Linked DNA regions of Caenorhabditis elegans. The protein of the gene in region 1 interacts with the protein of each later gene in a pairwise test. Each region holds a gene or a part of one and is shown in the gene's direction. Other genes may lie near its edges.

Region 1 (6,057 bases):
AGTTTTTATAACATATTAAATATTTTCTGATATCTGCAGTCATATAAGTTATTTGGTGCAAGAGTAACTGAGAAAATACGGATGCGTTCTAGAAAAAAAGGATAAGTAAGAAAGTCGTAGATAGTTACTATTTGATAGTATCTCAAGAAAGAATGGGAAACTAAGCAAGACCTTGAACTAATCGTCATTTGAAGAGAACTTTAGCATAGTACGTTTTCAAACGAAAACCACAATTTCTCAATACTGCCTTCCCATCACAAACGAAAATTTTATCCTATAGGATTAAAACCAATTTTCAGTAGAACTACAACAAGATTCTGAAAAGTGCACTCAATGCTTTCACGAATGGGCTACAGCACAAGATGATAACTGTATGAAATAATCATGTAATGCACGATATCAGGCCATTTCAATTGGTCTTTTGCGGCGATTTATCACTGGTGATAATTGGAAGTTGGACAGATAAAAGTATAAGATTGAAAAGATTGAACCAACAGAGATTAATAAAATAACAAAAGTCGGAGATGATAGGCAACTCAGCAGCAAATTTAATTTAATTTTCAAAAAAAAAATTCATGTAGTATAATTTTCATTAAAAAAAATGGTTAGCAAGGAAAATGAAATGATTATGTTTCTTCGTCTTCAATAACTTCCAGCTTAATTTGACTTGTCAACTTTTTCAAATGTTTATCCGTAGCCTCGACTTGTCCATGCCATGCGTGCAGTTTGTTGGCCCATTCATCACTGATTCGAGGTTTCACTTCAACTACGCTGGCCGATTTTCTGTTCTTCTTGTTCGCAGGCGATGTGAATGATTCGTCACTGAATAATTTAATAATTTTTAATTGAAGAAAAAAACAAAAATCTTCACTTACATTTGGGAAGCAGTTATCGGAGCAGAAGTTTGTGGGATTTGTTCTCGTTTCACTTCAACCAATTTCGCATTTGCACGTTTTGGTGCCCGAATTCTTGCAACTCCCGATGTTCCCTGCTTGCCTACTTTACCGCCCAATGAATCTTCAGGTATTTCAGGCTTTATTCTGGCAGCATACTCATTTCGTAGAACTTCTTCAGCCAATGCATTATCGTCTAATAACTCTTCAGGATTAACTGTTGTCGTTTTTCTGCGTCGCCGTTGTCTTACAGGGCGATCAATCGGGCTGTAAAAATAGGTTATTATTTTGGGGTTAAACTGTAATTGCTTACATTGGAACCTGAGCATCATTATCATCCAAACATTCCTGGGCGATGTCACCAAACGTTCTTGCGGTAAGATGTTTGAAGTTTTCTGCAAAAGTTGAACGCTGACTTTTGAAAAAAAAAAACATATTTTCGTGTAATAAATGTACCTTCCATGTTTGGATCAAGATGCCTTCTTTGTCTAGTGTGTTTTAGTCCTTCAGCATATGCTTTACTTCTCAAAGTTGATCTGCTTGAACCAGCTGTTTCCTCTGGAGCGCTACTAATTTCTGGATTTGTTGGAGAACTTTCGAACTGTTCTTTATATTTTTCGACAATGCCCTTGATTTCGTGTAATGGTGATTTGAGCCCCGTTAGAGTATCACTTAGTCCAAGTTTTTGCTTAGCCTCTGTGTAAACTCCGTGAATAAATGATAATTCCGTCATAATATCAGAACTGAGCATTTTCGTAACACTGGAAAACGGCTCCTGAAACTGTTTATGAAAAAATTCCAATAATTTAACTTACTTACAACTGGAATTTTGTTAAAATAGGGCAACTCTTCCTCGGCAAGGTATTTTTTGTGGGTTGCCGGATCATATGTCGACTGAAACACTTTAATTCTAAACGCTTTCTTCAGAATAAGCATTTTGAGAGCCGCAATTGGTTCAAGAAGTTTTTCGACTTCTAAAGATTTTTGAAATTCGAGAAGCTCTTCGAATTGTACCGCAGTGACCGGAATCTGAATTAAATTTTTTAAAACTAAATTAAACTTAGAATTAATCACCTGACAGACATGATCAACTGGCTGCAAATTGTACAACGCATAGCAAACATAAACTCCGAATAGCCTCTCCTGAAAATATAACATTTCAGACTTATTTTTACTTCTATTTCAAACCTTGAATGCCCTGAATGCTCCAACTTCATTCACTTTTCCGAAATACATTGCTGCGTGTTGTAACAGGTATTCAGTAAACTGAAAGCCGGAATATTATAATAGACTAAATAAAATCAAAATAAAGCTACCTCTAAGCATTCGGCAGGATTTAATCGATAATGAAGAATGGTCTCAAAATGCATATCCCGAAAAACATCAGCAAAGTCTCGAATTCTTAATTAATCAAGATTTTCCATCAAATAATACATTTTCTAACTATACCTGTTGGATCCCATAGATATAAACTTGTTGCACAATAAATGAAGATCTTGTTTAACTCCAGTTCCCATAAATGGCGTGGGAATACCTCCAGAAGCCATTGCGACTCGTTTTTTCCTTGAATCTTCAGAAATAAATCCGAAAATAATTGACGAAAATAAAAACATGCAAGTGCGCTCTATCGTGAACAACCAATTCTCGGCGGGAACCAGCGGTATTCAACGCATTTCAAAATGAGTTGCGCCTCAATTTACCTAAAAATATTGTTTTTCAATCGTTTTGATATAATTTAGCTCAAAATATTCCCATAAAATTAGTTTAAATATATTCGCAATCAATTTTACGCTTTATTAAAACATCAAAAGCTATAGATCTGCGTGAAACGTTCTTATAAATCGTGTTGCCGTGAAAAATATTCTACTGATCGTTTTCTATCGAAACATTTTCATGTTTTCAGAAGAATCGAACTTCAATCAGTATGCCTGACGACGAGGAGAAGCTCCAATTACTTGCTGTAACGTTTTATCATTTCATCTATTACCAACTAAACCTAATATTTCAGGACGTTGAGAGGCTCAAGAAAATTCTCCGTCAAAAAGATGAAATGCTCGAGGAGATGGAAGACGATCTCAAAAATCAGGGAAAACCTTGTTCTTCCAAACTTTCACTCGAAGAACGTGCACAAGAATTGAGTGAACAACTTCGCGATCTTCATGTTGAGATGGACGGAAAAAACGCCACAATTCTTGATCGGGACGCTCTCATCGATTCACTGCGTAGTGAGATCGACAAACTCGAAAAAATTGTAGGTTTTCATCATTGTGGGCAACATTAATATATTGAATTCTCAGAATAAGGAGTTTGCCAACGGATCAGTGATTCCCGAACATGATGATTCCAATTCCTTCGGAGAATCTGAAATGCTTCGTATTAGCGAAGATTGTCAGAAATACAAAGAGACGGCGACTGCTCTTTACGAACGAAACGCCGAACTCGAAAAAGAAGCGGTCAACTTGAAAGATGAAATTGAGTCGATGATGGATCATATTCGGGACCTCAAAAATCATATGGAGACGCGTGATGAGGAAATTGCCAGATTGGAAGGAGAGCTTTTTGATGAGAGAAACTCCCATGAAGGAAAATTAGCGGCACGCGGAAATTCAATGTTTTCTGAGGTAGGTTAAAAAATATCAATTAACTGCATTTTTTTTAATATTCTTCAGGTTATTGATGCCGAGCGGAAGGTTGAAGAAGACCTGAAAGTTCTTCATGGAGAGAATCGAGCACTGAAAGGGATGGTAAAACGTCTTCGAATGGAAGTAGAAGAAGTCGAAGAAAGACTTCGGTCATCCACAAAAAGATTCAACGTTACCCGAATGACCACAAGTGATATTGATGTCAAAGAGATGCGTCGTCTCAGAGACAGAGTTTGTCACCTGGAAACGGAAAGGGTTCATTTGTGGGAAAGAATGTTCATTAAAATGAGGTCAATTCCAAAACGCGAAGTGGGAGCGTTGATTACCGGCTACTTCAAGTCGTTCGAATTGTCAATTGCGAGCGTGAAAGGAGGTTTTGACGGTTTGATGAAGGACAACGAAAAGTACGTGACAATTATTCGTGGATTGCAACAGGAAGTAGAAAATCTCAAAGCGGACATTGTGCAACTACAATTCGACAATAAATGTGCTCACAGAAAAGCTGCACCAGTTGTCAATAAGGATTTCGAGCACCCGCTTCTTGCTGCTCCTCTGAAAACTCTTAACAATGGACGACCATCATTCTTCATTAAACCGAAAAACGTGGAACCCATGCCTCAATTAGGGCATTCATTATCCAGTATTGCCGTTACGCCACAGGTAGATAAAAGTGCAACTTTTCACTATAAATAATTATTTTTCCAGAAACCAGCAGCTAAATTCACCACTCGTTCCTCCATCAAAGATGATACTTCAGAATGGGCAGAACGTCGTATGAAAGCTCAAGCTGAAAAGAAATTGGCGACTCCGACGCCGCGTTACAACTATATCAAACTGTCCGAGCCCGTTCCAAAATTCAAACCGGCTGTTCTTCAAATGCCATCAACCTCAGAAACAAAGGAAAACTGAGTAAACATCATGTTCGTAGTCATCTCGTATTCATATAAAACCGCCTGTATTGATCTCGTCCCCTCTATTCACCAAGTTTTGTCGATTATTCTACAATGTTTCCTATTTAATGCATGTCAAATAAAATTATTTTTATTATAACGCTCATTCTTAGATTGTTGATGTTCAAGAACTTGATAGAGCCGCTGGCGGGAGTGCAGTGGAGCGCGAAACCCTATCGATATTACACGATCACTTATTGATTTATATATTTTTAATATTTATTATTGTAAATATGGGGTAGAATATAGAAAAATATTTTCCAGATTTTCTCTTCCCTACAATCTTCGGAGATCTCGTATGGATATGCTTTCGATATAGGTTCAGTTCTTACTACTAGTAACATTTGAGAGAGCTTAAAATTTAAAAATTGTAAACCGTTCGAATTTGTTCTGGTGTGGGGTTCGCATGATATTGATCGTTTTTAATATTTACGATGATTTTTTGTGTTGTGCGAGGGTGTTTTAAAATTTGAATTTGCCGCCGAATGAAGTAGAACAAGAACGCAAATGCGCTCTGTGGCGAATGGTGTTCGACAAAAAGTTTTTAAGATCATTTTCTCAGCAAAATTTCGTTTCCTTTCTAATTTTTCCATTTCAGACATCACATTTCGTCCGGAAAGCAGATGCCGAAGAAGAACAATACAAAACGAGCACCACCAAGGTATTTTTATAACATTTTGATAAAAATAATTATCTAATATTTCGTTTAGTGTACCAAAGCCGTCCGGTCCGCCACCTCGATTACTTCAACTGACATCCTCAGATGGACATTTGTTGCAGGGAGACATCCGGGCCCTCCTCCTCTCAAGTACACTTGCTGCAACCATCAGAGAGCTAGGATATGACAAGGAATACTGTGCTGAATTAAAACCGGTACCTGTGAACAATGTTGTTGGATTTACATTAAAATTACTGATTGAATGGTGCGATAAACACAAAGAAGATGATCCTGCAATTGCACTGGCCGAGAAGGACAAGAAAAATATTTGCATTCCTTCCTGGGATAGACATTTTCTCAGTAGACTGCCAATGTCAAATTTGTTCGATCTGATTACTGCTGCATATCATTTGGACGTTACCGGACTTATCAATTACGGCTGCAAAACAGTTGCCAATTCTGCGAAAGGAAAAAATGCCGAGGAAATGCGAGAACTTTTCGGAATACCTGAACCATGGGAACAACCATCTACATCGACTGCTACATGGGATGATTAATTTTCTGTTACTATCTTCGATCTTCAAATATTTCAATTGCACAAAACCGGTATTATGGAAACAATCATTTCAGCCATGTCAAATTGCAATCGAGTTATTCTTTGAATACTATTTTTGTTTGTTATTTATTATATCTTTAAAATTGCATAGGATCGCTCAATGAAAATTACTTTATAAAAAATCACATTTGTATGTAGTTGAAATCATGGAAAAACAAGAAAATGAGTACTAGATGTTGCCATCAATAGAGGTTTTCCTAGGCGTCGGAAGTTTTCATCGCAATCATATGGATCTGAAAATTTTTTCCGGAAGTCATAATTTCTTGATGGATGCTTGAGTGACCGCCTCCAGTATTAT
Region 2 (9,198 bases), on another chromosome or scaffold:
ATTGCAAAACTTTCCAGAAGCTTCTAAACTAGGCATATTTTCAGTTTTTTTGTTGGTATTTTGACGAAAAATTAAAAAAACTAGTTTTTTTAAAAACCTCATAATCCATGTGATCTGCCTCGAACTTGCAGACTAATCTTCCAATGCTTCTTGCAAAAACCTTCCATCCCGCCTGAAAAACATCATCCAAATTTTGAACAACATTTCCCGAGAACACGTGTCGACGTTTCGAGTCGAGCAGGCTTAACACTTGGCCACCGATTAGTTGATCCAAATAAATGGATTTGACGATTCCATTGTAGAAATTCAACGATTCGTGAATTGTGTGCATTTCACGGAGCAACTGATTCATTTGTTGATTTGCTTCCTGTAATTTTATTTAAATTAAATTTTAAATAACACTAAAAAGTTATAGTTTTCCTATTTCTTCTAATTTTAGCATATAGAACATCAAATAATTTTTAATGTATTTCCAACAATAAAATTATATCTAAACATACCGTACTTCCGCTCAACTTTGTGCAAATTTTGGTAATGAATCCGTTGACTTTCTTCTCAATAGTAGAGGCCACAGCTGAGCTAATTGAAGAAAAGGTGACAGAATCATGAGTGATTGCATAACAACAAATTTTAATTGTAGCAACTGTCACAAGAATATCATGAAATCGTTCAAGTTCTGAACGAATGAATGGATCAAATGAGATATTTGCAAGAATTGAGATGGGAAGATCGTGTTTGTCGTATTCGTCGATTCGAATGTTTTCCGTTTGATTTCCCTGAAATATTTTTGACTTTTTGAAAAGGGGACACTGTGGAAAGAGCAAAAAGCCGTAGCAAAATTGAAAATTGTTTAATGCAGCCCGGTTTGATGTCTGTCGATTTACGGAGGAAATTGTACCACACACGGACAAGAGTGTGTGTGTGTGTTTTTGGTATACTTTTACAGTTTTTGACGACCCTTGCTAATTTTTTGGCTAACATTTAAAATTAAAATCAACTTTTGTTTTAATATTTCAGAGAAAATCCGATATAATTAATGTTGAAAAACTTCCTGTCGGTTTCAAAAATGAATACATCGACTTTTACTTGAAACATAATGAATAAAAGATATTTCGAATGTTAAATAAAAAAGAACAAGCGAAAATCCTGCGAAAAAATGAATTCACACTTGTCCAGGTGTAGTACAATACCCTTCGTAAATCTACATCATCGAACCGCGCCGCAGTCTTGCAAAACCAGACCTTGCAAAATTAACTGGTTACTTGTTTTGTTCCGACAGTATATTTAAAATCCAACTTACGACTAGAAATAGCTTGAGCTCAGTGAAAACCATTTCCTCTTGTTCTTCTGGTAAAACATTATGGAATTGACTGAATGGTGTTGGAATGGACATATACCATGGTGATGGTTCATCACAGACACGTACTCCTTGCCATTTGCTCACTAAAAGATACGAAATTAACAAAAAACTTTGCTTTTTCAAATCTTACACAAACTACGGCGAATATCCCTCCACGGCTCTCTATCCTTGTGAGCAGTTCGCATCATCTAAAAATTTAAATTTTACTTAAACGGAATTACTGTGAGCAAGAGAACAAGGGAAAATACACGGAAAATCAAATAACGACTAGAAAATAATTAAAATAAAAAGAAATGACTAAAGATCCGGCGAGAATTGTTGATTTGTGTCTAACACGAGTCCATCTTTCACTTCAATTATGGACTTATTTTCGCGGGAATATTGAAATTTCGGGCTTTTTCCATAAATCCATTTCCAGGCTTTCAACTCATCAAAGATTTTCGATATTTCTGCATTTTTCTTCACTTCCTCTGCAACATTCACAGTTTTTATATGTGATTCTTCGAACAGTTTTCTGAAATTTTTTAATGATTGGAAGTTTTTAGTTGCTCCGTTCACCTATAAGCTTCAACAATGGCTAATTTTGATTGTTCGACATTTGCATTGGCATCATCTTGTTTCAGAAATCCAACAGCCGGAGCTCTTACGCTTCTTGTAGCATTTGATTCGATTTTATCTCTCCATGGAGATTTCAAAGATTTTGATAATACTTGAAGATCCGCACCGACGAGGAGTGTTAGATGGTGATAGGCTTGACCTCTTAAATTATTCACATAACAAGTGTTTAAAATATTTTTTTTAAAAATACCGCGCAATTCTTGCAGCTGTTCCTGAGCATTTCCGTTCTCCTGGATGTAGTTCCATGTCATCACGCTTGTTTGGAACGATTTTAACAGAAAATTGTTGATTTAGAGCATCCGAAATGAACTGGAAATAATAAAATGATATTTTTATTATTTTGAAAAATGATATTAATACCTTCAAGTTTTTTGGCCGACAGTGTTGTGCGTGTGTTGTTAAAAGTGAAATATTCAGATTTCCTAGATCATGATAAACAGTGCCTCCTCCACTGTGCCTTCGGACAATTTGAATATTATTTTTGTTAGCATATGGTATGTTGACTTCAATCCACGGATTTTGATGTCTTCCGATGACTACAGCCGGTCGATTACTCCACATGAGCAGGATTTCCCCGTTTTGAGCGACATTGTGAGTCTGAAATCAAAAACTATAGCAAAGGCACTGAAATTACTGCTGAACTGACCCTGAAAATATGCTCCTCATACGCAAGATTTTCGAAAATGCAGCTTGACGTGGATTTCAGAACTGTGGACAATTTTCCGCGTGATATAGAACACATTTAACAAGAAAAATAAATTAGGAAAAGGTAAGAAAACTGTTTATTTGCAAGATTTGAGAAGAAGAGATTGCTAGCATTAAGGAGACGCAGACATTCAGTAATTGCGCTCCATTTATGACATTGTGGCGCGAGCGTTCAAAACATAAATTTTACTTTTTTTTCATTGATTTTTGTTTGATCTAAATTTCCGAAAGCTACCTGAAAACTGTTTAACGCTTTTCTACTATAAAATCGTCACCTTAAAATCTTTTTTAAAATATAATTTTTGTGTGAATTATAAAAATGCACAGTAGCAGTTTAAAGGCACACTTCTTAGTTCAAAGAAATGGTCTTATCACGATTACAGTACCCAACCTGAACGCGGCGCGAATTCCGGATTTATCCCCAAAACGTTTTTTTCCTCCGTTTTAGGTGGCCATTTGTACCGCGTCCAAAACGCGTAAAAGTCCCCAAATTGTCTTCTTTGTTCGACAATTGCACTGAAAACTGACAAAAAACTAACAACATCGGGACTTTTTCGCGTTTTGGACTCGGCATTGAAACTAATATCGCTGTGTCTTCCTTCCTGATTTATTCGTCTTTATTTTTTGTATTTTTCAGAATCAAAATGGATAATAACGTTGAGGATAAAAAAGAGGCAATGCTCAAACGATTAGCAAATCGACACGGTAACAAGATATTTATACTTTATCTCATTATTTATTTTCTTCCTCTTTCAGAGAAACGCCTTCTTGATCAAGTCAAATCGAACACAAAGAAGATCGATTTGAGAGCAACCGAGCGAGCCTTTTTGGAGTCGAGTCCGACTTCAATGAATATGCGAACTCCTCTCAATCCTTCAATCAGCTCTTCTGTATCAGATTCCCCGATTCTATCATATGATGAGAAAGCCAACAAGCAAATTATTGCACTCGCCACGTGGTGCAACACAATGATGGAATTGGATGTGTCTGAAGAGATGGATCTAGGAGAGTCGAAAGCAGAAGCCTGCAGAAATATCCAAAAAATGTTGAAGAAAAGATCAGATACGTCAGAAGTGGAAAATACACAGGAAAATGCACGCAGGAGATATCAACGGATTTTTGAGAAAAATGATCCAGAAGTTGTGAAGAAAAAGTGCAAGCAGCTTCTAGACGATTCAGGAATGGATGCAAGCATCAAGGATCTTCTGTCCAAAAACAACGTCGCAATCCGAAAAGAACATGCCGTATATAATGACATAGGCCTCCAAACAACTCTTCTTCACACATTTCTATCATTCCATCCTGCTTGGCTGAAAACTGCTCTTGAAGCAATCTTTAACACGAGAATTGACGCTCAACCGAAGCATTTAATGAAAAAACTTTCTCAGTTTTTCCTCGATCTAGTTTTCTCAAATCCGACGATGCTAAAGAACAAGAAATTTGCACAAGGTTCTGGAAAGTAAGTTGCTGATTTCAGAGGATGAACGAGTTCGTTAAAATTATGCCTAATCAAATTTTTGCAGACCGATCATCACTGAGGCTGGCAAAGAAGCTCTACACAAGCATTTTCTGTCCGTCTCGATGAAGCTGATGTTCTTGATTGAAACGGCACACACTCATCGAGTTATCCCGAATCTGACGAGAATCTTCACGAAGTCCTCTCATTTCAATTGTCTCGACGATGTGTTCTCCGAACTGACGAAGGAATTGTTGACTGGAAGCTCTGCTACTTTCAAAAAAGCGTTTGCAAAAGTCGGTTTTATTCCGACTTACCGACAATCATTCATTGAAAATTACGACTACCAAGCGAAAGGATTTTCAGATTTCTCGGATGGTCTAATTTTGGCGTGAGTTTCTAGAAAGATTTCTTATAAATTACACGAGCTTTTCCTCATTCAACAACAAATGTTATCACTGTCCCTATTTCCACCGATCATAACCTATTTTTCAGAAAGCTGTTGGAAACTGTCGGAGAGATGCCGCATGGTCAAATTCTGTTGAAGTTACGTGATCCAGCAGGCGACCGCATCCGCAAAATTGGAAACGTGAAGATTGTACTCCAGGAGATGTCTTCTTTGGGTGTTCCAACGGATAATGTTAACGCCGAATCAATCGTTGGCGGAAAGAAAGACGAGATTTTGTCTATTTTGTGGGCTATTATCGGAGTTCGTGTGGCCAAGGAACAAAGAATCAAGGTGACGAGAGTTTCTGAAGAAAGAACTCCGAAAAAGCGGCGATCTGCTGTCCACGATGACATGTCTTCTGAAGTATTAAAAATGTGCAAGATTTACGGAAGACAGATGGAAATCGAAGTCATGGACTTGGATTCACTCTCCGATGGGTGCCTTCTGGCCAAGTTGTGGACCACTTTCGGAACAAATTCAACACCGATTCAGGACTATGATGGACTCAGTCTGTGGGAGAAAGTTGTTTCAGTTGCCGAGTTGGAGCTTTGTATTCAGCGAGGACTTGATCAGAACATGGCTCTTTTCGTAAAAATGTTTCTGGAACGACTGGGTATGATTCAAGATCTAAATGAGAAAGCGACCAAGATTCAACGAATGTGGAAGGCCTACGTGCAAAGAAAGGTATTCATCAAAAAATAAAGTTATTTATATTATAATTCACTTTCAGAATACTCCCAAGCTGTATTTCATTGTACAACAACTTCTTGCCGACTCATCAATTCCTCGAAACCGAAGTGTTTCTCCATTCTCTAATAATGTCACTTTCACAGTACCGAGGACTCCACGGAATAATATTCTGACTGAAAGACCATCTCTATCACAAATCCCATCGTCTCGCCAATCAATGGATTCTACCTTCAACGATGCGACGTTTACTGTTTCACGTGATTCAATTGAAAGCATGAACAAGATGCAGAAAACTCCACTGAGAGGTACATTCACAAGAAAAACAATTGCGATGGTTATCGAGGAAGAGGATGATTCGGAAAATAACGAAACGGTCGTACCAAGTACATTGAAAAAGAGAACCGTTGTCAGAATGGAGCACAATGCGGAAGTATTCAGAGAACAAGATGAAGATGATGAAAACCAAGACAAAGACACTGTTGCTCCTTCCGCTGAGAACTTGGATAGTCCACCTTCAGACATCCCATTAGAAACTCTTTCTTCTATTCCTTCCGCTTCCCAATCTGCCATATTTCTTCAAGACTCTGAAACTGGCAAAGAGATGCATGTCCCTAAAGCTGAAGATGTCGGCGTCGTAGTTCTTGAAGCATCAGATTCTCCGGTTGCACTAGAAGGGAACAATGAAGCAAGCTATGATGGTCAGAAAATTGAGAACTTAGAAACTTTTGAAATCAAAGAGGGCAAGACGCAAGAAGATCTACCTTCAAAATCTCCTATGGATCCTACGCAGACAAGCGGAAGCCCATTGGTTGAATTCAGAATGACAGAAGAACAGGAGCGTTTAGAGATGCTTTTCCAGTCATTATCAGAAGATCAGAAGAACTTCGTCAAGACGAATAACCTTAGTGTGTCTATTGAGGACGATGCCAACACTCCTGAACTTAGAAGGATCTTGAGACAAACCAGAGAACTCAAGAGAAAGCAACAGGAAATTGTGAGTCTATATCAAGTTTGACAGATTATTTAATGGTGGACTCAACAGTCAAAAAACGAAACATTTTTTGCTTTAAATGAGAGAACAGATCATAATGACCACATATAACTGTAAAAAATTGAACATTTTTCTAAATTTTTTAATGGGTTTTTTAAAAATTTTGTAACAATAAAAGAAGCGACTGATAAGGCCCGCCGAGATATTCGTTTTCCTGGAAAATTTGAATGGATTTTCTTTTCTCATCTGGCGTCTCAAATGGAAGCACAAAAAAATCCGAGAAAAACCAGTAAAATTAGCTGTAAAAACGGATATCTCTAAAAAGTGGTCAGGGCCTGGTTAAAAATGGTTAAAAGTTTCAGGCGAGAAAACTGGGAAACATCGAGAGAAATGCGTTAGCTGTTCGTGATGGCGGGGAGGATTCGTCCGACAGTAGATCAGATGCTGGGCACGATGTTGCTATCCTTCACGGTGACGACAGTCAACTCTTCGAAAATTCAATGCAATTGGATCAGAAATCTCAATTGCAAAATGATGAGACTCAAATTCTTGAGAATAAAAAGAAGGCAGCTGTTGTCATTCAGAAAATGATACGTGGTTTCATTGCACGGCGTAAATTCCAAATGGAAATTAGCAATATTCGCAATCGCATGATCCAATACAATCACATATTGGCGCAAGAAGACGAGCAAATTGGTATAGAAGAAATGGAGGATAAATCAGTCGAGGCAAAGTGAGAACTCTTTTTTTTTTAAATATATTTAAAAAAATTGATTTTCAGGCTAAAGAAATGCGCTCTTCATGGACTCACAAATGATAACCTTCACGTCGTTCATGTTGCTGCAACTGTCATCGGTATGTCGCAAATGAAAATTACGAAGAAGCTGCTTTTTGATCTGAAAGTCATAGAAACCAAAAGTTTATGAATATGCCGCCATGGATGATTTTCTTCGTCAATTGCAAAACCATACAACACATAGAAATGTTCATATTTTGCAGACCGAGTCACCGATCTTGTTCCATCACTTTTGGAAAAGCTTGTCGTCGAACTGAATGGCATCAAGTCGATCACTGATGTTTTGATTGTGGCGGATCGAGGATTCTCTTATACGAGCATTCTTCATCCATTATTGAATGTTCTCGAAAAATTATTCACGAAGATTCCCGAAGAAGTCACCAATTCGCATATTCTCCCTCACTTGAAGATTTTGTCGCCTCGCTTGATGCTACTGATGCTGAAGCACTCGGAAGTCAAGGAATTGTTTATTCCTATCATTAACACCTTGACTTCAATTGCTAGAAGATTCCCAGACAAAAAGCAATCGAGTTTTTCTTCATCAAGCTACTCAATCAAGCAGTCGCTCAAAAAAGTCAAGGATCAGGAGTGTCGGAATAAATTGGTCAGATTGGAAAGCATATGCGAAGATATGCTCTAAATTAGTCTCTGTTAAATATTAAATTCATCCCACCGTTTTGTGTATCATATCGTGAAAAAATACACACGGTTTAATTATTTTTATGTGAATATTTACCAATAAGATCAGTCAACCTGATGCTTATTTGGATTTTTTGGTATTTCATATTTGTTTCTTAAAGTCTGTTGTGAAGTAAAAACTTGATTTTAAATACTACCGTTTTTTTTAGAGTATGATGAATTTAGCTACTTTTAGAAATTCAAGAAGTCTGCTATTTTTCTCTGTTCCCTCTTTAAAATTTTTGAGTTTTGCACTTGTTGCGTAGCAGATGGCTCATCCGATTTGCAAATAGTTACTCGTCTTACTCTCCGTTCGCATTACACAGTAACCCTCCGACCATCTTTTTCTGCTCTTTTTTGTACTTTGTCACGTCATTCGGCTCCTGCTCCGCCTACTCAAAATTTTTATGGTTTTTTTCGAAAGTTTGAGAGAAGTAGTACTCGTTTTTCCGAATTTTTAAAATATTGTTCATTAGTTTTTATTAATTCCAGCTATATGCAGTGCCGGCCAAAAGTTGGTGATTTTTCAACAACAAAAAAAAATCAAAAGTAGCTACTTAAGTAGTAATTTTAAAAAACTTACCAGACAGGATTTTCATTATAACTTTGTCTAGATTTTGCTTTCCTCTGGAAAAAAAGTTGAAGCGGCTGACATCTACAGGAATAGATTTGTATATGTTCTCTTGCAACACATGTTTTTGAATTCTAAAGGCGCGTATGGGTCTCGCCACGTGGGAAACGAGTTTCTGTAACTCATGTCGGTTTACGGGTCACTAAAAGTTGTATCATCATTTTCAAAAATAGAAATTACTGACAAGATTTATTTAGAAAAAATAATTGTGCAATAGCGGCCCGTACATTAATACGAGTTACAGTAACCCGTTGTTCGAATGGCGAGACCATTGCACGTCTACGTAATAACAATTTGGCAGCAATTTAGACAATATTATCAATGTTTTGTCTTTACACAGTTTTTTAATTATTAGTTTTTGAGGTATTGTTTGGTTGAAAAATCACGAGAATAAGTCAAAGACGCATATAATTTGGCCGATATTGTGCTCGCATTTTCCCGATTTTCGTATTCAAGAAAATGGTCAGAAGATCATTTGGAATAGAAGTAGAAAATCTTCAAAATTTTTCTTTTTCTTTTATTTTATTCTATACAAATAGACACTTGAACTAATATAATAAGTACTTAACAGAAGTAGAACTCTTTTCAACTTGGCCCCCTCTCTGTAATATGTCTGACAATGTTGGTCCAAGAGAATTGTCAAATGCATTCAAATATCTTCTTGCCTATCAATTAGATTCGTAAGTTTTTTTTTCACAAAATGGAAAATTGATAGTTATGGATAGATCTCTGAAAAAAAACATCTTAAAATAGTAGATAATACTTTCCACCCAATTTTTTTGAATTCATAAACTTATAAAGGCATATTAGTAGCTTTTGTAAAAT
Region 3 (6,891 bases), on another chromosome or scaffold:
TTTTTGGCAAAAATACGCCGGAATTGCAGGAAATTCCCGGTTTTTTCAGCTTTCCATTGGATTTTTTGCCGGATTTTCAGATAATTCAAGCTGTATTTTCAGCGATTTTTTCGAAATTGCCACCTTTTTTCCAGATTTTAAGGTTTTTTCTGAGGTTTTTGCAATTTTCTCGCAATTTCTTGGATTTCTGTCGATGTGCCAGCGTTTTCCTTCGAATTTGCACGATTTTGTCGATTTTTAGAGATTTTTCTCCAATTTTCAGCGTTTTTCATTGGTTTTTGAGAAAATCCTGCTATTTTTAATGATTTTTCAGTTGTTTCAGCAGATTTTAGGATTTTCCAGCGACTTTAACTGAATTTTCGCTCGATTATTGGCATTTTGAAGCTTTTCCTTCCGATTTGGCACTTTTTTCGGCGATTTCTCGAAAATTCGCCCATTTTCGCAAAAGTTCAAGGTTTTCCGGGCATTTTCTCAAGTTTCTCCGATTTATCTGTGAAATCTGCTCTGAAAACCAGAAATGAGCACAAAAACTCGATTTTCATATTTTCGAAGTAGTTTCTTCCGATTTGGCACATTTTTCCGGGGATTTTCTCAAAAATTCCCACATTTTCCAATGTTTTTTCGAAGTTTTGAAATTTCCCGCTTTGAAAATCCAGAAATAAGCCCAAAAGGAGCTCCACGGAGCCCGGTTTCATCAGAAAATTCGAAAATCAGCTGAAAAAAGGTCAGAATTTCAGTAAAACGCTCTATGGAGCCCGAGTATTTGCTCATTAAACGCTTCTGAATAAACAAATAAACATGAAGACGTAAAGCCAGACGGAGCTCCAACACGCACGGAGCAACTAATTTCGTTTGCAGTTCTTCTTCTTCTTCTTCACAAAAGACGCAGACACTTGCACACTGAAGACACAAGAGACACCAGACACTCTGTCCGTTCTCTGAGTCTCTGTGGCTTCCCGTGATCTCTCGTTGGCGCCCAGCGCCTGTCATTGGCGCTGCCCACGAATAGATAGTGTACGTGGAGTGGAGAGTCACCAGACAGAGCAATAGGGAATGTCCAGAAGCATCGGGAGGGATGAGAGGACGTGGCTGCAGTGCCCCCTGTTTCTCTGTGTCTCTGCGGTATTTCCCGTACTTTTTTTGGGGGGTTTCTTCTCCTTTGCAGCAGATCCCGAAATTCCTCGAATTTCGCATTTCCGCCGCCGCCCACTTTTTTCCAGCTTTTCCAGCAGCGATCTGGAATTTTTGAAGCTTTGACGTCCGTATTTTGAGATTTTGTTCCAAGAAATTTAGTTTTTTGAACTGAAAATCGAGGAAATCGACCGGTTTTGGGCCAGGTTTCTCTGAAAATTGGTGCCTAACCAGGGTTTCTAACTGACTTTAATGTTGCCCAGTTTTGGGATTTTTTTGGTCGGTAAAACCAAATTTTTTTTCCTAGAAAATTAATCTTATGGAAAAAAAAAACTGGATTTTACCTGAAATTTTCGAATTTACTGACTGTTTTAGTCTATTTTTTCGAGTGTTTCAAAGCAAAATTCCCACTGACACCGCCGGTAGGCAGGCAAGGCTTCAGAGAATGATGCCTGCCTGAAATCTGCCTGCCTTTCGCCTCTTTGCTGCATTTTGACATGAGTTTTCAAATTTTCTCATTTCTATCAATTTGTTAAAAAATCAAATTACACGTAACACGTATTGAGGCGAGAGTCAGGCGGAGTCGGTCGCCTCAAAGACAGGCAGGTAGGCCTACGTTCAAGGCCTACACACCAGGGGTGCCAGGCTGCCCATTTCGGTTTGATCTACACAAAAATGCGGGAGAGTTTGAGACGCGAGTTTTCAACCGATTTTGCATGGTTAAGAACGTGCTGACGTCACATTTTTTGTTGGGCAAAAAATTCCCGCATTTTTTGTAGATCAAACCGTAATGGGACAACCTGGGGACCACGTGGGCCTACAGAAGTGTGTTCCTAAACGACAAAAAGCCTACAATTTCTCTTCCTATTAGGTTTCTCAAGTATCAAAGTTTTTCATTGATTAACACAGGGATACACCCCCTCTCTTGATGATTTTCTATTTGACCTCGATATTTCGGAATTTCGGGTGTACTTTGTCGTTCCCCGCGCGCGGGCTGCGAAAACTTTTTTTTTAATATAAAAGTTGTCTCCACCGCGGCCCGCGCAATTGTCTTTACCCCAACGGAAATGCAATTATTATTGTCATTTTTATCACCACCATTTCAACTTTGCCGATCTCTGTGTGAAATTCTCAGTTGCCGTCCCCGAAAGTAAAGAAAAGTGCTCGAAATGCCACTTTTTTTTTTTTGGAAGAATTTTCAACTTTGAAATGGATTTTCCCGAAAAACTGGCATCTCAGCGAAGAAATTTCTCGGTTGTAGTGGAATTTTCTACTCAAAAACTCGATTTTTTTTTATTAAAAAATTCAAATTTCGAGGTATTTTAGTGGAATTTTCTATTGAAAACTCAATTTTTCACATTAAATCCCATATTTTTTCTTGGAAATTATCGATATTCAGCTTTAAAAATATGTGAAAAGTTGAAAAATGACTCCTTTGTCGATTTACGCAGCTCTTGTGTACTTCTCGAGGAGAAGAGAAGATTTGTACAGTTATAGTAAAAATGCGGCATTTTTGGATATTTTTACTAAAATTGTAACTCTTCTCCACGAGGAGTACACAAGAGCCGCGTAAATCGACACAGGAGTCATTTTTCAACTTTTCAGATATTTTAAAGCTGAAATATCGATAATTTTCAGAGAAGAAACATAGAAAATTCCACTAAAAACGAGAAATCCATTGAAAATAGCTCGAAATTCGGAATTTTTAATCGAAAAAAACGAGTTTTTGAGTAAAAAATCTCTATGAAAATGTGGGAAATTTGATATTTTCGAAATAAAATCGATTTTTCAGGGTTTTACACTGAAAAAGTGCCATTTTTTTCGAAAATTTCGAATTTTACACGTTTTCATAGAGATTTTTTACTCAAAAACTCGATTTTTTCGATTAAAAATTCCGAATTTCGATAATTTCTCCATTTTCCCACTTTTTTCTATAAAATTTCTAAAAATGCTAAATAATTTCAGCCAATGGACTCGTCATTCGTCGATCCATCAACAGCTCTCGGCATTCTCGGTGGTGTTGGTGTATTTGTGTTTGCAATTTATTATATGATATTCATGAATCGACAAGAGGATAATTTTGACAAGGTTCGGAACGATTTTCGTGGAAAAATTGAGATTTTTCACACGAATTCTGATCAGAAGAGTGAAATTTCAAGAGATTATCGACTTTTTTCGCTTAACAACCGGATTTTCCTTGACCTAAAATTGGCCTAAAACTTTTTTTTCCCCGCGAAAAAACCAGGAAAACTAAATTTTTACGAGAAAAGTGGATATTTTTCAGAGAATTCTGACTGAAAAGGCAATTTTCCTCGGATTTTCTCATCAAATTGACTGAAAATCTGCGAAAAATACCTTTTTGTGCCTGAAAATTGTTGAAAAAAATTAATTTTTATCAGAAAAACGGCATTTTCAGCAAACTTTTATTCTAAAAAAGACGATTTTTAACGAGGAATTCGATATTTTTTCCGAGAATTTTGACTTGAAATGAGCAAAATTGCTCTTTTTCACTTAAAAAAAACAATTTTCCTATCAAAAATTGGATTTTTATCGAAGTTTTCCCAAAAAAAGAAGGTTTTCGGTTCAAAATTGGCTTCTTTCGGTTTTTTAAGGCAAAAATGAACAAATTCAGGCCAAAAATGCCAATTTTCAGGTGTAAATTTAAAATTTCAACACAAAAATCGTCTTTTTGTTTTTTTCGATGAAATCTTCGCTGAAATTCGGTTTTCCTGATAAAAATTGGTTTAAAAAATGGGAATTTAGGCACAAAAATGTCGTTTTTTGGGGGAAATTCTGAATAAAATACGATTATATTTTCAAAAAAAAAAAACAAATATTCCAAGGAATTTCTCCAAAAAGAAGGATTTTTGTGTGCTGAAAATTGGCATTTTCAGTCAAAAAAAAAACTGTAAAAATCTATAAATTTTTCAAATTTTCAGGCTTACAACCGCGACGCATTGGCTCTTTTGACTGACAACAACGAGAAGAAGAAACAGCCAAAAAATAAGACAAAGAAGCAACAGCAAACGGGCAAAAAAGCACAAGATGCCGCTCCAGCTCCGGCTTCAGCTGCTCCAGCTGCTCCAAATGCTCCAACTCCAACGGCTCAGCAACAACCATCACCAAAAGCTTCTGCTGCTCCAATTCCAGAAAAACCGGAAATTCAAGTCCAAAAAGTGGAATCTACTCAGGCTTCTGCTCCAATTCCAGCTCCAGCAGCTCCAACAACTCAAAAATCGTCTCCAAAAGAGCGAAAATCGGTGAATTTGAAGGATTTGGATCAGAAAAAGGTGCTCAACAAGCTCTCCGGACTCCCAGAACTCGATGAAGCTTATATTCAATTCTTGGCTGGAGCATTCCGTGATTCTGATGCTCAGAAGAATAATTTGAGTCTGGAAGTTAAGGCTTTGAACAAGAAGATGACGGAATCTGCTGTGAAAATTGAGAAATTGAATAAAGAAAAGATGGCTGTGGAACAACGCGAGAAACACGAGCAGTATGTCGATTTTTTACGCGGAAAATTGAGAAAAATCGTGAAAATTGATGAAAATTGGTCTAAAAATGATAATTTTGTGCGAAAATTCAAGAATTTCGATGGAAAACGTGGAAAAATCACGAAATTTCATGAAAATTGGGCCAAGAATGATATTTTTTCGTCCGAAATTTAAAAATTCTGAACTAAAATTGCTGACCACGCATTTCTGACAAAAAAAGAGGCAATTTTCTCCAAAATTTGATGAAAAATCGTTTTCTCAGTCGAAATGCACCATAATTTAGTCAATTTTGACGGAAATTAGGCAAAATCGATTGAAAATTTCCAATTTCCCGCCGAAATTTGACTTTTCGACGATTTTTCGTTAGCAAACAGCTGAAAAACGACATTTTGGCCGTGAAAATTGTAGAATTTTGTTTTAAAAATTACTATTTTCAGCCTAAATTGTTGTACAACGGTAAAAACCCTAATTTATTCAAAAATTTAACTTTTCTGTCTTGAAAATCGGGCTGAGAACCGACAGTTTTACGCAAAAAAATGCTCCAAATTTGTGAAAAATCCCTAAAAACTTCTTAAAATTGAGCTCAAAGAGTCCGAGCAGGCATTCCTTTCAAAAAACGGTGAATTTTAAGAAATTCGCCAAAAATTACAAATTCCAGCAAAAAATTCAACTTTTGGTCTTAAAAATCGGCTAAAAAAACGCTGAAATTGCTGGAAAAATTTTCAATTTTCCGCTTAAAATCTCTCTAAAAACCTGCAATTTTTCAGTGCTCAACGCCAAAAAAAGCTCTAAAAATGTGAAAAAACCCAAAAAATTGCACTTTTGAGCCTAAAATCCGAATTTTCTCCTGTTTTTCAGAGCTCAACGCCAACAACTCTTGCAAAAAGTGGCTCAAAATCAGGCTCACGAATCAGAATTGGCTCGTCAAATTCAGGGAATTGAAGGAAAACTTCGTGTGAAAGAGCAAGAACTTGTTGCCGCAGGAAAAGCTGTCAAAAATAATGAAGAGCATGAGAAAGAGCTGAAGCTGTTGAGAAGCACGAATTCGAGTTTTTCAACAGAGCTGAAGACGATTCGAAAGGAACATGAAGCTCAGTTACAGAAGAAACAAGAAGAATGGAAGAAGCTACATGAGCAGTTGGAGCAAGAAAAGGAGAAGCTTATTTCGGAAAAAGAGCACGCAAAACAGACACATTTGAAGCTGGCGGCAGCTGTTGAAAATGTTGAAGCTGAACTTGAAAAGCAAGGAAAAGAATGGATTCAATTGAGCACACACAATCAAACATTGAAACAACACAATTTAGAGTTGGAAGCTGCTCTTTCAGTGGCAAAAGCTCGAGATCAAGACGGAGAAGCTCAGAAATGGACGATGGAAAAAGCTCAGATGATTGAGAATTATACGCGATTGGAGGCACTTATCGGGGAGCTCAATCGAGATATTTCAGAGTTTCACGAATAGTGAGTAGATGAACAATTTTCGAGGAAAATCTGAAAATTTTCAGAAAAACGGAAATTTATGTTAAAATCGAGAAAACAGGCAATTTTTGCGCTGAAAAACCGAAAATTTCGAGTTTTTCCACCCTATTTTTGGTCTAGAATCGGTCAAAAATGAGCAGCAAAGTCATGAAAAAACTGAATAATTTGAAAAAAAAATGCACGTTTTGACCAATATTTCACTGATTTTTACCTAAAAACTGCTGAAAAGGAGACAATTTTGGAGAAAATGTGAGAAAAAGCTCGAAATTCTACTCGATTATAGGAAACAGGCAATTTTAGTGCTGAAAATTTGAAAATTTTGTAATTTCTAACGGAAAGTGCTGATTTTCCCTTAAAAATCTATAAAATTGTGCTTTTTTGCAAAAAAATTCGTTTTTTCACTCAAAAATGGGCAATTTCAGTCGGAAATTGATTAATTTTGCTTTAAAAAAACTCGAGAAAAACTCAAATTTCCATTGAAAGCCAAAACTCGAAGAAAATCGACAAAAATGGCCGGATTTTTCTCAAATTTCGCCAAAAAAAAAGGCCAAATTTCTGTGGAAAATTGGCGATTTTCCACTATAAAATTGAAAAAATCGCAGAATTTCACCTGAAAAACTTTTTTTTTAACCAAAAATCCACGAAAAACCCGATTTTTTCCGTAAATTCTGGGAAAATCAACGGATTTCAATTGAAATGCATTTTTTTTTTCGATCAAAAACGATTTTTTTTTGAGCTGGAAAGGTGAAATATTGAGAAATTATCATTTTTTACCCGGAAAAAGGCAAAA
Region 4 (10,122 bases), on another chromosome or scaffold:
AAACCGCACCGCCGCACACTCACGCGCTCATGCGCTCACCACCGCACTCATAGACACTCATCGACGTGCGCTCGACCACTCACCACCATTTCTCTTCATCTCTGGTGGTTCTCCCCGTATCTAACAGTATATACGTCTGTGTGGCCAGTTCTACACACACACACACATACACACACTACCAATATATTTTCGATATGTGGGATGGACGGGACACACGAGCGAAGATGGACGGGATGAACAGCGGGACGGGCGACATGCCAAACTTGAAACACTTTTTGGTTGGAAATAGATTCGGAGAGAAATTGATTAGGAACTTGTTAATTGAGGATACTAAGGATATTTAACAGAAATTCACCAATTTTCTGAAAATTTGACATTACAGTGGTTTTTCTCTGTTATGAAAAGTTGGCTATATCGTAACTTTTTGTACTTTGTGAAATATTTAAATTCAAACAGGAGATGATAAATCTAAAAAGGAAAAAGATGAAACATTATGTTGAAATTCTTAAGACAGTGTTCATTAATTTGACACGCCAAAACAGCCGAGGCTATCAATTTTTGGTGACTGAATTTTTTCGACCTTGTGTGCCGCCACCGCTCGGGAACCAGAAACTGTGAGTGCTAGACAGTTGAGGGTTTGTTTTCCTTCGCATCAAGTTCACGTGACCCGGTGAGGTGGAAGAGAATTGGGAATGAGAAATCTATACTGTTTTTCACACGGAGAAGAAAACATGAAGAGAAACTTTTGAATAACGAGAAAAATGTTTTTCTTTTTCAAAATTGAAAATAGAAGACAAAAAACAAACACGCTGAGAGAAAAGAGGCAATTAATAAAAGAAAAAACGACCAGTAGAAAAAGCAGGTGTTATTAGGCTCCGGGAGAGAGAAAGGGTCAAGCGGGAAGTGTTGGTAGTGTGGTCCAGCGCGGAACAAGATCGCGAATGCGTGTAGCAATTGGACAGATGGGTCGTCGAGATAGTACGCGTTGCACAGAGATGCCGATGGTGAGCGTAGGGCCCAGCGCACTGCCTCCCACCTATCGTTGATCAATCGATTTCTTACTCGCGTCTCGAGAGGGGCTACTCAATCAACACATTTCTAACACTTGACTAAAAGTTTTACATGGTTTAACTCTTTTCTTTTTTGTTGATAATCTTTTATCAATAGATTTCAAACTTATATGCTATTCATAGTTCATTATTGAAGCTTCTAGTTAATTATTATGACATTGAAATATTTTTTTAATTTGCTATCACAAAGAAAGAAACCAATTGTCACATAGAATCAAAAAATTGGCATTTTCTATTCAATAACCCATATATTAAATCAATAATCACTAACGCATAAAATGATCCTAAAATACTTTTGATGATTTTCAAATGATTTGTTCAAGGAAACTTAAAGCAATTTATGTGAAAATTCGATAAAACTCAGTATCAAAGAAAAAATAAAATAAAACCAAATAAAACTAAATAAAACTAGGTAAAACTAAGTAAGTAAGTAAAATCGAAAAAGATTCTAAAATATTTAAAAAAATCAGAAGTCAAAAATCCAATTCTACAAGATGATAAACCGACGAATTAATTTTTGTTCGTAATTCCTAGAACTACTGTGTTTTTCATTGCAGTATTTCTTGCAATACCATTTTTTGACTGTTTATATTTGAAATTCAATATACAAAACTGGAATTTACGTAGGATTCAAACAAAAATGTGCACATTTAGAAACAAAATTATACGAGCATTTTGAAGACGCTGGGAATCATAGAAGATCCATGAAAAATACCATGGGGTGCAAAATTGATACAAAACATACCATACCTAAAATTATTAAACGAAAAACTACACATTAAATATCAAAATAGTTTTAAAAAAATTCGTCATATAAAACATATTCTCTTTCCTCATATTTTTGTTTCGAAGTTTTTGTTTCTATTGTTTATGTTTTCGGCTAGCTTCATCATATTTTGCTTTTCATCCTGCCCATTTGTTGTTCAGTACACATGATTCAAAAACAAAAAAACTGGAAAAAACAGCAAAAACATAAGTTTCTTCATTTTGGATTTCGACCACGTCAGAGATTAACACGGATAAGCCGCGATAATCAGAACTAAACTAAACGATTTTGGAAAGAAGGTCTTCCACACGAACGCGTGTAATTATATAATTAGGAACTTGCATTTCGGGTCAGGTCACTTGAAACCTTTTAGTGTAGTTTAATCGAAACTGCGTTTGACCGCCCGAGACGGGTTTGTGTTAGTTTTTTGTTGTTGAGTATTTGTGACTTATACCAGAAATTGTCACTTTTAGTTTGGTCTTACAGTTTAGAGTATTGGTATATTATCAAATTAGATTTAATTCAATTTTAAACTAATGAAAATGTTTCTACATTGTATGTATTAGCTCACGAAGTGTCTTCTTATCATTCGTAAAATTTGGGAACATGTTGCACTGGCAACAATATTCATGGTTTAGTTTTGTTTAATTTTTTTCCAGAATACATATAATTTTGTATCATTTTTTCATGTATTCTTGTGGCGTCAATGTGTCTCATTTTGGTTTGATCTACGTAGACCTACAAAAAATGCAGGAGTTCAGACGCAGAGTTCTCAACTGATTTTGCACGGTTAAGAACGCGCTGGCGTCAATTTTTTTTCGATTGAAAAACTCCCGCATTTTTTGTAGATGAAACCGTAATGCCTGACACCGTGGGCCTGACACCACGTTTGTATTTGCATTCAAAATATTCATTCATTCAAGATGTGAAGTTAAAATTCATGTTAGTATTAGCTTCATGTAGTTTAGTTGAAAAATGACCACGTGAGAATTACGTTATTGATTAAATATTTCTAGGTATGATTGCCATATTAGCACCCAAATAAATGTCTAATTTTTCTCACCTATTTTTTTCTCGTTCTACATTCAATCTTGATGATTCACTATTTAATCGAAACTAATCTCAGGGTGAATGAATCGAGGGGACGTGATAGATCCGCGCTCGTCGGATGGCACATCATCGGATCAGCGACGAGTGCATGCAGTGCCACCGACACCCATGTATCAGGGAGAGACGAACATTTTAGACTCACTTCTAAAGGAGGCTCAGTTGAATCCAAGTCTGAAAGCGAGTGGTGAGCAATATCGAACCAGGGGTCCTGCAATTCGAAAAACTATTTTTCAGTGATGAACCACCAGGCTCAAACAAAAAGCAAGGATGACGACGAGAAGCGGTTGCAGAAGATGCTCGAAAAATATCAGCTTGAAATGAACATGCAAAGAGCAAACAGCCGGAAGGATTTACATGGAAGTGCAGGACGTGCGTGTGACATTTTTTGTTTTTTTTCTGTTTTTGGTGGATTGATGAAAATAGTATATTATTTCAGCATCACCTATCAGTCATTCTCAGCCATGTCTTATTGCGAGTGGATCAAGATCGTCAGAGTAAGTATTGGTTTTATGATGTTTTTGAAACGTTATACGGTAAACTGTAAAATTTTTTTTGAATGTATCAATAACTTTATCCACAGTGTTTCCCACTATGCATTAATTTCAGCCACACTTTTTAAATAAGGAAATTTGTAGCATTTTTTTTTTCATTTTATAAAATTATAAAAATCGTAGAAAACATTTTGGTGAATTTAATAAGTAGTAAGTGACGAATACTGAAAAATTGCTAGATTTCTCTCTTTTTTTTTTGTGAATAAAAAATTCAAAAATTATAACAAGAGTTTCATTTTTATATTTAATCACTATATTCGTATGGAAAAACTTTTAAACAACTTCCGCACAGGTTTTTAGCTAAACGATTATCTAAAATTAAAACTTCCTACTTTCAAGTTGCATTTCAAAAAACAAACAAACTTTTTTGACAAACTCAACATTTTTCCTGAGATATTTTTTTTACAAAAAAAAGCTTGACCTTCTTCTTTTAAACATTAATAATTTCAGTATTCCCCCAAATGAATCAAAAATGAGCACATCTGCCTATCAGCGTAGGGCATCTGCATCTGGAGATCAAGCACTTGACGTCCCCACATTGAGCCAAACTAACAGAGTAAGAACTTCAACAAGCAACAGCAAAACAAACAATTATTTTAGGGAGTATCCAGCAACCAGAAGCTCATTCAAATTCTCCGCGAGGAGAATGTGCACTTGAAAAAAGAGCTCGACGCTTTCAAGCGCAGTCTTTCAAAACTACAACAGGTTTGTTGGAAGTTTCAAAATAGTGGGAAACCTAAATGCTTGCAGATTGAATACTCATATGCTCGACTGGAAAAAGAATACGAATACTTGGCAAATGAACGAAAAAAGCAAGAAAATTTAGAGCTGAACGTGATTATTCAATTGGAAAAGTCTGTAAAAAAGTAAGTTGGTTGAAAATCTTGTCGGTAAAAAGAGACAACAATTTTCTGATATTTATATCTAATGAAGGCAATATAAAAAAGTTTCCATTTAAAAATGAATTGAAAACTATTTCACAAAATTCACGAGCAGCACTTTTTTGTTGTTTGGGGCAAACTAGACAAACATTGAACACAACTAATATCATTGAAGTTCACAACAATAATGATTTGATTAAACAAACTTGGGCAAAATACTCTTCGCATTTGGCTCTTGCAACTTGCCCAAGTTTGGCCCAAAAAATCTTAACTTGGCTTAGAAGTTGGCTAAACTTGAGAAAAAGGATTGAGACTGCACCAGAGTTTAACCAAAGCCGAACTCTACTCTTACCCTACTTTAAACCCAACTCTTGCCAAACTTTGGCCCAAACTTTTCTTGTTTCGTTTCAAACTTTGGTAGAAGTCTGGCGAGAGTTGGGTGAAACTTGTGTTGAACTTTGGTGTAATTTTTGCCGAAGTCTTGCCTAACTTTTGGCCAAGTTGCGCCAATCCATGTTGATATTTTGTAGGACAAAGTTGGGCAAGAAGCCAGAACCAAATGCCGAGTAAGCAAAAAAAAGCTTATTTCATACAAAGTTTTACACGGGCATATTTTTCTGAAATTTTACAATATTTTTATTTTAAAAAGTTTATCCAAAAAAAAAACTGACAAGCGGCAATATATCAAACAAACATCCAATCAACAGGAAAATCCATTATCTTCTAAAAATCTTAGTTTCAGACTTACCATCGAAAGAGACGACTTGCAAATGCGGCTGGAAAAAGCAAGTACTGAACCAACGATGGTGGCGAACCTGATGTTAAACGAAATTCAGCAGAGTGAGGAGAAAAAAAGAAATAAATTTGATACAATAGAACTGGAAACAGAGAAGCAGAATGAGAAATATGAAAAAAAAAACGAATAAAATACTTATACAATTGATTTTTTTCCGATTCAGGGCAAGAACTCTTCGCATGCAAAGAGCGGCAAAAAATGGAGATTGAGGCACAGAATCAGACGTTGGAGGAGCAACGAAATCATATTGCAATGCTTGAGAAGGCACTCGCCAATTCACAAGAGAGATTGGCGAAGCGGGAAAAAGTATGGAATATTTGTGGGAGAATGTGCTGAGCGGAATGGATAACATTTCCAATTTATTTATGGGAAAATGGGGGGAGAACAAAAGTATAGGACCACAACAGTGTACTTTTGATAAAAGTGAACAGTTGTTTGGGTATTTTGTGAATATGGAGAATTTCTGAACATATAGACTAAAAATGTTTTCAAATGAACGAAATTCGTAATGAAACTTCTCCAAAAATTTAAAATTTTTTTTTCCTGACTGTTAGCTAAAATCTCTAATTTAGAATATTTTACCGTGTCGCAGTAGTCGGAAATTGAAGTTTTTGAATTATGATCTCACTTCGTTGATTATGGTACATTTAGAGCCCATTGGTGGCCAGGTTTGGTCACCTTTGGCCACTTTTTCGGTTTTTAAGGATTTTGATCAACATGACTTCATAACGAGACAACCCAAAAATAAATAAAAAATTGTCTCACTAGCCGGAAATCAATTTTTACTTGAAATAGATTTTTAACAGTTGTCTCATTTTTTTTGTTTTTGATGAGACACTCCAATTGATATAATAATGAATAAAAGTGAAACGCGAAAAAAATTTGCAAACTGACGTGGGAAAATAAGAAATGAAAAAAAACTTCCATGTGATACAAACAACAATTGAAAACGTGCTGTGTTTAGAAACATTCAGAACTTGTCTATCAATTTTTTTTCTATTTTCAAGGTAATTTTAAAGGCACTCAAATAGTTATGTACCATTACTTTTGCATTCATATTCAAAAAATATTGCGAAATTCAAATTTTAATTTAACTTTGCAATATACCTTGCACTTCCGGACTTCTCTAAAAAATGTTTTTTGCTTTCTTAACTTACATTAAAAATATTTTTTAAAGCTCCCAAATCAAAACTGTTTTCTTGATAGTACGTTATCTTTTTTTTGAAATTAAAATTCAATAAGAAACACTTTTTCTAGAAATGCGAAGAATTGTCCGCTGTAGTGGCACACGCTGATGAGCTGCGAAAGCAACTAAACGAAGTATGGGAAGAACAACATCGGAGGGATCAGATGGTTGAGTCGGAACGGGCTCAGTGGGAAATGGAGAAGACTCAGCTAAGAATGCAATTGAACAAAGACACATCACTCACTGGAAGTCTTAAGGTTTGTCTCGAAACAGGGAGAGAAATAGTAGTAAATGAAAGTAATGTGGGGTGTGCTAGGAAAAGGGGGGGGGGGGGCGACAACATTTGAACCGGTTCCCGATTATGGGGTTAAATGTCCGGTAATGAAAGTTTTATTGATATAGATCAGCACCGGTCTCAGTATTTTTTTTCTGAAAATTAGATGGGACGCCTATAGGTTAGTACATTTGAAAACGTTTGCAGAGGGTCTAAAGAGCGTCATCATTTTTCTAATATATACCATTAAAAAATGGAGAATTAAAAATTTTTCTAGCATCTCATAATTTTTTTACTGGAAATTAAAATTATAAACTATTATTATTAGTTTATCTTCTATAACAATCTTATCCTAGATATTGCCGTCTAAGCCGTCTTTGTACATAGTAGTACATAAGCCCTGAAATAGAACATGCCAGAACATCTATAGAATTACTCATGGAATTACTAACCACTACTCATTTGCATAATCATCAATTTTGCAGCGAACCACTACTCCCGGCAGCACAGAGGATCTTATTCGAATGCGAAAGAGCATTCAATCAAAAGACGACAAGATTCAGCAACTCGAAAGAATGGTGAACGATTTGCGAAAGTTTGTTTTTTTTTCTTTCTCTCTTCTTTTATTCTCTTCGTTTGTTGAAGAACTGAGCCGAAAACGGAAATGGAGAGCAGAATTGAAAAAGCTTTTTTTAGAACTCACGGTGACAAAACTGAGCAACGGAAGTCAACTCTTGCAACAATAACTGACAACTTTGAAACCCAGGTGGACAAATTGAAAGAGGAGAGTTATGAAAAGGTGAGGCAAGAACTGCTGCTAAATTTTTTATACAAAATTTAAAACAAGTGAAAACATTTATAAGGGATCTTTTCAAAAATAGAGACGTTACTTTTCAAGGTTACGTGTTTTCTCACAGAAAATGTTTTCAATAAATTGTTTAAAGTTTCCCAGTTGCCCCTTATACATATTAACATAATTTATTGTTACATATACTATATAGCACTAAATTTTCGGTCATAAACCCAGTTTATAAAAGCCTCAACAACCGCTCTCTTTCGTGTCCTCGGTAGTATAGTGGTGAGTATCCGCGTCTGTCACATGCGAGACCCGGGTTCAATTCCCGGCCGGGGAGAATCTTTTTGCCTAATAACTTTGGGAGTTTAATTCAAGAGAGTAATTTTAGATTGGTATATTTAATTATCGCGCCTAGAATAAATAAAAATGTTTCTGATATTTGATATACTAGAAATGAGCTTTATTTCTATTATAGAGAACATCAGAAAACACACTTTGAAATGAGCTCACAAATTACAACGGGCATATTCGATGAATAATTGATAAATTTTAGGATCTGATCATCAACGAACTGAGGTCGGAGCGGGACAAATATGCAGCAATGGTAGATAAAAGTGAGTATATGAAGCCCTAGTCGGGAAAAAAGAAAGGCAAAGGGGGAAGCGTCGACTGCATTTCTTTTGGCATGTGAAAAGAGCACTCTTCTTCCTCTCTCCTTTTTTTTCTCATTTCTTTTCTTTTTTTCCAGACAGCGGAGACGAGGCACTGAGTAGAATGGAGGAAATTAGACAGAAAATACAGGAAAGGAAGAAAAAAGGTCGAATGGGCGTGACTGGAGGGTAAGACGCAGTTTTATTAATTGCTCAAATAAATCAAATATAATTTCCTTAATTCCCATATTCCAGGCTATCAGAACATGCAAGAACTTCATCGGGCTCGTTGATGCAAAATTCTCTTCATCGGAGGTGAGACAAAAAATTATGAGACCGTTGTTTTTTCTTCCTAGGAAACTTTGCAAAAAGTACTCAAAATTTGAGTTTTCTGAACGAAAGCAAAACTACAGTGAATCTTGAACTTTTCTCTAATTGTAAGTTCCTTTTTAAGTTAGTTTTTGAGTATAAAATTTTCAGTTGAATACTTTCTAGAAACACACATAGGTCAAGCTGAAAATACTAGCTCCAGAATCTATTACGATTCGATAAACATCTTCAAAAGTAACAAACTATACAAAAAAAGTTGCAGATCATCATCTGGATCATCATTCGACCCTGTACCGACTGCTCCAATTCCTTACAATATGTTCAAAAATAGTAACAATAACAAGTCAATACTTGCGGATAACCAATTTTCTTGAATATTCCTCATGCACTAGTCATCGAAATTCTATTTATTATTTACAAACACGCTACCAACAACACACTTTCCTTCTTTGTTACTTTCTGTTACATGCATAATTCAATTTATTTTTCAATTCAAGTTTCCAAAGTCCATTCCTCTTAATACAATTTGTATGTAGTTTTGTTCTTTTAATTTTTAGCCAGTTTAGATGATGTACTTGTATTTTTTCCATCAGCTTCATAAGCTCATTCAAAAAGGCCATGTGTTTTGCTAGTTGCAATATCGTTTTAATAATTGTGATTGAAATGTTTCAAATGAAAATTATTTTCTAACCTTATAAAAATTATCAGATATACTTTTTGCTATATAGAAACTGAAAAAATGACCAGATGTGAACGAAAAGGGCAATGCTAATCGGTTTTAAAAAAATCCAGAAGGATTTCGAAGATGTAATGAAAATATTTTATTGAAAAACAAAACTGATTTGAAATATTTGAATATGTTCAGATATCAGAATTAGTCGAAATTCTGACACTTAAATTTTTGTTATCTAATTGGAAGTTCAGTTTTAATTTAAAAAAGATAGAACATGTTAAAACGGAATAGTGTTTTTAGTTTTTTACAGACTTCTGACATATCAAACAAGTAAAACATGTTTTTTTGATGGAAAAAAAAACTCTTAGCAATTTTTCTGGCTGCAATTTCCTCCAATTCTTTTTTGAACTTTCACATTATACTTTTGAATAAGCAAAATTACCCTTTAACTTAAAAAGTCTGAAAATAAACTAGAAAGAACATCAGTCTGATAAACTTTGGCTGTTCAAATCATTTTGAAACTACCATCACGTGAAAGAGCAGGGTTGATAACATACTTTCCGAAATTTTCGAATAAATCCATGTACAACAAAAAAAGTTATGAACTTCGACCCCTGGAAGTTATTTCTCTTCTTAATATGTAAATCATCACGTGAACTTAATCAGCTATGTTCTATTGTTCTTTCGGCGGGAGGATGGCCGAGTGGATCAAGGCGGCGGTCTTGATTCGGCCACCCGGGGGGTTAATGGTTCGACCCCCACACCCCTAGCCACCCTGTCAATGCCAGAAACACCGGCATTGACAGGCGAAGGAGCAGCTCGTGGATCATTTCACAAACAACCACGGCGGCGAACTTGGGCCGAGAAGGTCAATGAGGATCAGGCCAACTGGAGATCGACAAGCGAGCTGAAATGGATGAATGATAAATGATGTATGTATGACTAAAAATGAATGAATAAAAAAAAAGAAAAAAATACAATTTTGGAATTTTTTGGAAACCAAAAGGCAGACAAAAAACTTTTACATTTATCATTTTCC

The links.
Region 2: the proteins of spdl-1 (region 1) and aspm-1 interact in a two-hybrid assay, tested with the Caenorhabditis elegans proteins (one large-scale study listed by BioGRID).
Region 3: the proteins of spdl-1 (region 1) and tcc-1 interact in a two-hybrid assay, tested with the Caenorhabditis elegans proteins (one large-scale study listed by BioGRID).
Region 4: the proteins of spdl-1 (region 1) and F59C12.3 interact in a two-hybrid assay, tested with the Caenorhabditis elegans proteins (one large-scale study listed by BioGRID).

The regions. Positions count from the first base shown.
Region 1 is NC_003280.10:7,778,770-7,784,826, forward strand, and holds spdl-1 (Spindly-like protein spdl-1), read left to right. Parts: upstream 1-2,796; 5' UTR 2,797-2,817; coding exon 2,818-2,853; intron 2,854-2,901; coding exon 2,902-3,144; intron 3,145-3,190; coding exon 3,191-3,514; intron 3,515-3,562; coding exon 3,563-4,195; intron 4,196-4,240; coding exon 4,241-4,444; 3' UTR 4,445-4,582; downstream 4,583-6,057. Other genes in the region: snpc-1.1 (snRNA-activating protein complex subunit 1), read right to left, coding at 627-822, 876-1,160, 1,207-1,288, 1,350-1,668, 1,713-1,922, 1,968-2,036, 2,082-2,159, 2,210-2,294 and 1 more; skr-17 (Skp1-related protein), read left to right, coding at 5,109-5,146, 5,196-5,700. UniProt on the Caenorhabditis elegans protein: Transient kinetochore component required for chromosome and spindle pole alignment and chromosome segregation during mitosis.
Region 2 is NC_003279.8:9,220,513-9,229,710, reverse strand, and holds aspm-1 (Calponin-homology (CH) domain-containing protein), read left to right. Parts: upstream 1-3,320; 5' UTR 3,321-3,327; coding exon 3,328-3,388; intron 3,389-3,439; coding exon 3,440-4,142; intron 4,143-4,206; coding exon 4,207-4,530; intron 4,531-4,634; coding exon 4,635-5,271; intron 5,272-5,317; coding exon 5,318-6,271; intron 6,272-6,630; coding exon 6,631-7,001; intron 7,002-7,049; coding exon 7,050-7,123; intron 7,124-7,267; coding exon 7,268-7,704; 3' UTR 7,705-7,961; downstream 7,962-9,198. Other genes in the region: gip-2 (Gamma-tubulin interacting protein 2), read right to left, coding at 98-367, 501-776, 1,301-1,443, 1,491-1,548; lipt-1 (BPL/LPL catalytic domain-containing protein), read right to left, coding at 1,658-1,874, 1,919-2,119, 2,169-2,287, 2,339-2,575, 2,625-2,720; lim-9 (Protein espinas), read left to right, coding at 8,983-9,053.
Region 3 is NC_003283.11:17,852,195-17,859,085, reverse strand, and holds the start of tcc-1 (Ribosome-binding protein 1), read left to right. Parts: upstream 1-3,096; 5' UTR 3,097-3,099; coding exon 3,100-3,219; intron 3,220-4,070; coding exon 4,071-4,627; intron 4,628-5,483; coding exon 5,484-6,083; intron 6,084-6,891.
Region 4 is NC_003284.9:16,602,365-16,612,486, reverse strand, and holds F59C12.3 (Angiomotin_C domain-containing protein), read left to right. Parts: upstream 1-2,962; 5' UTR 2,963-2,967; coding exon 2,968-3,130; intron 3,131-3,180; coding exon 3,181-3,315; intron 3,316-3,382; coding exon 3,383-3,440; intron 3,441-3,610; exon of another isoform or gene 3,611-3,835; intron 3,836-3,947; coding exon 3,948-4,053; intron 4,054-4,097; coding exon 4,098-4,202; intron 4,203-4,247; coding exon 4,248-4,363; intron 4,364-5,120; coding exon 5,121-5,218; intron 5,219-5,337; coding exon 5,338-5,480; intron 5,481-6,431; coding exon 6,432-6,617; intron 6,618-7,119; coding exon 7,120-7,229; intron 7,230-7,330; coding exon 7,331-7,433; intron 7,434-7,684; exon of another isoform or gene 7,685-7,777; intron 7,778-7,983; coding exon 7,984-8,044; intron 8,045-8,178; coding exon 8,179-8,269; intron 8,270-8,335; coding exon 8,336-8,395; intron 8,396-8,672; coding exon 8,673-8,784; 3' UTR 8,785-9,096; downstream 9,097-10,122. Other genes in the region: F59C12.4 (uncharacterized protein), read left to right, coding at 9,865-10,014.